Linked DNA regions of Daphnia pulex. The protein of the gene in region 1 purifies or fractionates together with the protein of each later gene. This does not show direct contact. Links are inferred from orthologs where the notes say so. Each region holds a gene or a part of one and is shown in the gene's direction. Other genes may lie near its edges. The genes, in order: 26S proteasome complex subunit SEM1-like and ubiquitin-protein ligase E3C-like.

Evidence for each region.
Region 2: the proteins of 26S proteasome complex subunit SEM1-like (region 1) and ubiquitin-protein ligase E3C-like purify together in Homo sapiens (affinity purification with western blotting; 3 studies listed by BioGRID and IntAct, with this or other methods). This does not show direct contact. The link is inferred for Daphnia pulex from reciprocal best matches to the Homo sapiens genes SEM1 and UBE3C.

Annotation. Positions count from the first base shown.
Region 1 is NC_060028.1:1,556,428-1,559,079, reverse strand, and holds 26S proteasome complex subunit SEM1-like, read left to right. Parts: upstream 1-1,513; 5' UTR 1,514-1,626; coding exon 1,627-1,732; intron 1,733-1,835; coding exon 1,836-1,932; intron 1,933-2,004; coding exon 2,005-2,044; 3' UTR 2,045-2,123; downstream 2,124-2,652. UniProt on the Homo sapiens protein: Component of the 26S proteasome, a multiprotein complex involved in the ATP-dependent degradation of ubiquitinated proteins.
Region 2 is NC_060018.1:1,404,267-1,408,547, forward strand, and holds the start of ubiquitin-protein ligase E3C-like, read left to right. Parts: upstream 1-1,476; 5' UTR 1,477-1,614; coding exon 1,615-1,734; intron 1,735-1,801; coding exon 1,802-2,279; intron 2,280-2,341; coding exon 2,342-2,495; intron 2,496-2,561; coding exon 2,562-2,758; intron 2,759-2,822; coding exon 2,823-2,980; intron 2,981-3,046; coding exon 3,047-3,195; intron 3,196-3,260; coding exon 3,261-3,502; intron 3,503-3,569; coding exon 3,570-3,769; intron 3,770-3,827; coding exon 3,828-4,014; intron 4,015-4,078; coding exon 4,079-4,281. Other genes in the region: DNA excision repair protein ERCC-5-like, read right to left, coding at 1-34, 169-379, 445-647, 705-799, 859-939, 1,025-1,112. UniProt on the Homo sapiens protein: E3 ubiquitin-protein ligase that specifically catalyzes 'Lys-29'- and 'Lys-48'-linked polyubiquitin chains.

The DNA of each region.
Region 1 (2,652 bases):
TTGTGAAAGTCTATTATAACCGATTTATAATCTTGCTGAGTGAAGTTATTTTAAAATACCAATGTTTTCTTAGCGATTGACAGAATTGAAATTCTCATAGAATAAGTCGCCTGAACGCGTCTTCAAAGTGAAACCGGTGGCTTATAAAGCGAAATTATTCCGAATTTTAATTGTCAGTTTTCTACGAAAACAACGGTGAATGTTGGAAGTAGCGAGTTTGCAATTAGTTTGCTTTTGTAAGAGCGCGGTTCCATAAAGAAAAGAGGACCTTGTTAAGGGGACTTAAAAAACAACTTCAATGACAAATGATGTCAAACAGCAAACACACAGTTGAGAAGGAACTGGAACGGGCGAATCGGAGGAAACCGTGAAAGGTTTTTCAATCGAAAAGTTTTGAATTCCACGTAGAGCTGTGTCTATAAATTCATGAGAAAGACAACAGCTTATAAATAATTTAAAATTATTATTCCAAAGTTCATATCAGTGTACATACAAGGGATTACAAGCAGTCGATTAGTATTAAACCGTCGATTATAAGACGAAGGCCTATCATCCGATGTTCAAATGAAAATTCATAAATGGCGGACTAATGTCGTTGGATTTCCATTTTTCTAATATAGAATTGCGTACTTTTTTCTCTTACCTCGGGAATAACATAAAACAGTTTGATAGAAATGTAAATTCGGTGTGGTCAATCCAGTTGCTTGGGCCGAACCAAAATGAAAAAAAAAGAAGCTCAATTGTTAAAAGTCGACGGTTAGCAACAGCAGCCTAACCAACTTTTAACAGGCCGAAATGTAGGTTATTGGTCTTACATTAAGCAGCTATTCCTGTTGTCAACTGCATTACATCAGAAAATGTTTTATTCAGACTTATATGGCGTTAGATAACCAACCCTTCCTTACATCGGTATCCCATATATGCCCTTCTACTTTTATGTAATAACGGCTGGAATTCTAGAGTCGTCAGTCCAGAGGGGTCGTCTCAATTAGTTACGTACGTGAACTTGGAGGTCGATCCTGCTCAATACAATGAAATGCAGATGCAGAGGAACCTGCTATAAAATCAGAGATAACACCTCAATGTCCCTTTCCAAGGCCATTTCTTAGTCGCTTTTGAAACAGGTTCACAGAAATTTTACGTCATATCTAAAAATAAATGTTGGTTTCCTTTAGTTCCAAACAAAAAATTAATCGTGTGTAAACAATCAAATGGTGCACAACTAGGCATTATAATAAAGCAAAAGAATCTGTATAGAATCGTTTATCCTCATCGATATGCATGTGTGACCTACGTTACAAATAAGCTTATCCATTTAAAGTTCTTCTTATGACAATTCAAATTGAATTTGCGCAAATGAAGATAAGAGTTTCTAAATTTTATATTTATATTCCTTCCTTACTTTAAAATTCGCGGCAACGTTCGACTGGTTTTTCTGATGTTCACCGCCATCTGTGGTTAATATTATGTAACAAACCCAGCAGACGCCTTTTTGAAAACGCCAAGTCAGAAGTTACGATCAGTCAGCTTGAAGTCAGACTCAGAACCGTCAAGTTAGAAGCAGAACTTCAGTGAATCACTGTTAGTTGTTAAAAATCAAATCTATCTCTTAATAATAGTTCAGTCATGGCAGATGTGAAGATTGAAAAAACTGACTCCACCACCGAAAAGCCAAAAGTAGATTTAGGTCTGCTCGAGGAAGACGATGAATTCGAAGAGTTTCCGGCTGATGGTAACATTTCTTACTACCTAGCGAACTTGAAATTGCCTTTAAACTTAATTGCCTATACTTAAAATATATGTTCATAGTTACATGTACCCATTGAATATTGTAGATTGGACTGGCAAAGAAGAAGATGCTGACGATGTCAATGTCTGGGAAGACAACTGGGATGATGACAACGTTGAAGATGATTTCAGCCAGCAATTGAGGTTTGAATACTAGTAGAAATTATTAATGACTTAATTTGGCATAACCATAAAATCTTTTTATTTATTTCATAGGGCTGCTCTGGAGAAACAAGGCATTAAAATGGAACAGTGATCATTAAAATAACACACCCATTTTATTGTACCACTGTTCACTTAAAAATTGAATACAATACTGTCTCTTTTGTATTTAATTATCTTGGCATTTCTTTTAGAAATGTACTAGAATTGGATTTGCCAGTCAATTAGTTCCTTTTAAGTTATAATGGAATCCTTCCTAAATTTTTCTAATAAGTTTCTGATTGAAACCTGTCCCAGATAAAGTTGTTCCATCTGTCAATATCTTCCTTTAAAATGGGACTCCCCAGCATCATATTCCATACCAATGAACCATTCTTAAACCCAAATTTATTTTTTAATTATCAACAGTTTCACAACATTCAAAGCAGATTGGCCCTATCGCAGTCCTAACCGGAACCGCTAGGGTTCTGATTTATTTTTTAAAATTATTTTCATTTATTAATTTTAAAATTAACATTACCACAGATTCACAGATTTTATTCAATTCAGTAATTACTAGATTATATGATTATAACGTGGTCATTATGTCAAAAGTCAAATCTGTTCGATTGATTGTTTCGTAAGTTCGTTAACGATTAGTAGCTAGCAGACAGACATTGAAGTTTTATCCGTTTTCCTCACTAGACCAAGACGGCATTTGAA
Region 2 (4,281 bases), on another chromosome or scaffold:
TTTCCATTTGAAATCCAGAAAAATCATCAGCCTCCTGCATTTAATAAAATAATCCAACAGCGTTGAAACGATTAGATAAGAGAAGTCAAAAGAAGACCACGGGAATTATGATCCCCCCTCTCCCCAAAAAAAAAGAATAAGCAGCAGGAAACATGCTACCAAAATTACCTGGGGCATTTGGTGAATCCTGTTCCAGGAAGATTGCTTACGAGTGTCTCGCAGTTCCAATAGAATTTCATGTTGTATTTCAGTTGGCAAAGCAAGGAAAGCTTCACTTGTAACATCTACTGAATGTATGTTGTGACCTTTCATATGTAAAGAAATTGCGCCCAGATTTCCATTTGCATCGTCGTCAAAATCTGATTCTGAAGAATTGTCCCTAAACATCAACATTGTTATTAAAATGTTAAGAATTTCTGTGTCAAAGAATTAACAAAAATTTACTCAGTGTTTTGATTTGGAATTGGTGGAAGCTCAAATAAATCAGGTTCCAATTTTTTCTTTTTTAACAAAGGAGCTCCAGATTTCCCTTTATTTTTGCCAAGTTGTTTATTGATAACTTCTGACTTAATATAGTTTGAAAGGATTTTCTCTGCAACCATATCATTGTTCTTAACAGCTGTATCTCTCCTGTTATGACGTGCAGCCTAAATTGTATTTTATGATTTCAAAAATTGTTGAGTAACATGTAAAAATAAGTGTACCATGGTTTGCCGTTTCAGTACTGGAACCCCTCCATCAAAAACAAATACTGGTTTGATTTTGAAAAACAATAGCTTGCAAAGACGGTGGCATAAGCCTGATGAGAAGATGAATTAATCTAAATTAATCAAATAATGGCCTTGTGAATTGAATTACCCAATAAGTGGGCATTTGGTAATGGATTTCCTTGGGCATCCCGGAAACCTTTAGTTGCTTGATGAAGCCAAATAGACACATCTAAACAAATAAAAATAAAAAATGATATTTTATGATTTGTTTAGAGTGAAAACAGCATATCTCAACATGGTATTGAAGAACTTACCAACAGCGAGAACTTTATTCTCAAGGGTTTCTAGCGGAACAGGTTTGCCAACCGGTTCTAGTAGATTCCACAATCCATGAACTCCCATCTTTGAAATCACAAATTATCTCGTAAAAGTTTTCCTTCATTCAAAAGAAATTACTGCTCTTACAGATGAGACAAAGTTGTCTCACGGCATGCTTGTTTTCAAACAGAAATCGCTTGGAATATCTTCTGCTAGAATGGACAGAATTGTTTAGGTTGTGTTCACTAATGCTTCACCAGAGTTGGCTGCACTAATTCAATATAATAAAGATATTAAATGGTCTGAAAATAAAAGAGAATATTTTACGGTTTGTGTTTTAAACTTTTAATTGCTTTTTGAAAATATTCCCTGTATCTCGCGATCCGCGAATAGATTTTCTGCCATTTCACCTGTTTATAGCTTGTTATTTTAATTATGCAACATCGTAAGTTTAGTCATTCTTGTGAAAAACGTCTGCTGTTCAGTTTCCCAAAGTCACCAATTTATCACAATAAAAGGATAAAGGATCCAATTACGGCAACTCGCAAATAGTCCACAAGACCTGGATCGATTCGTTGTTTTTGAAATGTTTAGTTTTGAGGGAGAGTACAGGCGAAAACCTGTCCAAAGTTTGGGAGGCGCATCAAAACATAGTCAAAGAGACATTTTTCTCCAGAGAACACAACTAGAAAGGCAAAAAAGAGAAGTAAAACAAAAATATTGCATTTCAACTCAAGATCATTCATTACTAACCTACTTTATTGCTAATGCAGGATTTACGTCGACAAAACCAAAGTGCTGTTATCATTCAAGCTTTTTTTCGAGGTTGCCAAGCTAGATCCCTTCAAAAGAACATTCAACGACAAGAGTTTGAAAGAATACAGGCCACCAATTTCCAAAATATTAACTTACAACTCTTGACATCTTTGATCAACAAACTTAAGTTCTTCTTTGATAAAGAGAAAGATGCTAACAAACTTGTGTGGCTATCACAGCTGGTGATAAAAAATTCACCTAGCATAATGAAGCAATGCCAAACTGAGAAACCATTCACATTTAGCCTTGCTCAATTCCTCAGCTTAACTCTGTGCTACATATCTGATACTATTCATTTACCAACTGGAGAGAGCAAAGGGTCCCACTGGAGGGTCTTGGAAATCTTCCTCAATGCAGAGGGCTGGAGAAAAAGTGTAGGAGTTCAAACAGCTGATATGATTTTGGGTTCAATATTTTTTTTCCTGTCTCGAAAAGGTAACATTCTCTCCTTGTTATCACAAACTTTTTTTTGCAAATAAAAATTATCTTTATTTTAGGTTATTTTACCCAGTTACGCCAGATTGTTGATGTTAAAATACCACCTTTAGTTGAGCCCACCACAAAGGCACCAACCCCTCTTTCTGGTTGCCTGTTGGACTTTATTTTTCAACCCCTAGAATTTGCATCGGCGACAATGAATATAAATAATCGGTTTGAAAAAGAATTTTTCTATTTATTATCCCACTTTTAAATTTATTTAAATTTATTTTCGTTTAGTAACACTGTAGTTGCATCCTTTAGCCGAGAATTTCTGGAACCAGCGTATTCAGAACCAATCACAAATTTCATTCTTCCGTCTTTGAGGCAGAATAATAACAAAATTCCTTTGTTATGTTTGCTTCAAAACAATGAAGCTTGTGCAAGAAATCCGTGGCTTCTTCATAGCATTCTGGTGCTGGCAGATGGACACCCTGGTAACTTAAGAATTCAGTTAACATTCTTGATTCTATAAGTACCAACGATTTCTTCTTAAAATAGAACTTAAGGACGATAGAGTGCTGTCATTCTACGTTGCCACAGTAAGTCGTTTAAGCGGATGTCTCCAATTCATGCAAACTGCTGAAGTTCACGAAGACGACGACGACTCAGACGAAGAAGATGTACAAACTAACATATTTAAAGCTGCCGAACAAGAAGTAATAACCTTGAAATATCTGGTTCATTTCGCAAATCAGTAATGTCATTTTCCTTGATTGCTACAGATAATGACTCGTTGCTGTGAGTTACTTAATAATATCAATACGGTACATGTATTGGTAACAGCCCTGCAAATCCCTGACGTTCTACCAGATTTGTGTGTCGTTGGTCACAATCTGTTGCTGTCTGATCGATTGGCGCTCCACAAGTGCAGGTATAGCAATACATAAATTTACTCGTCTTGACTCTGTAATTTTTAACCGGCGCCATAATTTCTAGGCTACTTTATACGTTGGCTTTCAAACCTTGTTATCTGCAACAGTTGTTAGGCCATATCAAATCAGAAAAGCAAGTGTCGCTGTTTGGTTCATCGGATACGTCCTTGGTTCAACTTTTGGCGAAAGGTGTTCATCTGGCGCATTCGGAAATTGACCGAATCGTACCCGTGTTAGATGTTTTCTGTTCACTTTTCAGTCATCTTTTAGTAACGTTGGACGACTCCGAATTTTACAACGAATCGGGTTCGTCTTCTACATAGTTTTTTTCGAAAATAATTTTTAACTTAGCAATTTATTGCTCATTTATTAGATCCAGTTTCTGGAGCTATGCCGTTCAGCCTAACTGAAGTGGTCGAACTGGCTTCTATATTGCGTGACGTTTGCCTTGGATTGGTGGAACTTGCTTATCCTGATACTCGCCCAAGCACCTCCTTCAACTTTGTCAAGACCCGTACTACTTCCACCGGTAACACACAAGAAGATACCCGACTGTGGATGCATCTGTTCAAAGTAAGGCTAATTTATTCAATACATGGACACAAAATGAGTGATATACCCTTCATTGTAGTCTACAGTGAATCTCGTCAGCCAGTTGCACACAAGAGATACGCGCCGACCGTTCTGTCCTAGTTGGGTTTGGATAACTGGAAGAATTGCCCTGCCTTTGGAGAGGAATGGCCAGCTGTCTTTCCGTAGGCAAGGCAGACTTCACCGTCCGTTTAGGGCTATCCGACCATTAACCAGGAATGAAATTGGTAATTTTTCCTTCGTGTTGACACTCTAAAAGAGTATAATTTACTTAATAATATTTCTTAGTAGAAGAGGAAGGTAGTTCTATGTTGTCAACAAGAGAGGTGCGAACCTTAGCCATTCTGCGTGAAATTCCGTTTGTGTTCTCGTTCACCGATCGGGTCAAAATGTGGCAGCAATGGATCCTCAATGATAAAATGCAGCAACAGGGAGAGGCCAATTTCCTTCGAGGTCCATCCATTCAGGTCATGATTCGCCGGAATTATATTTAT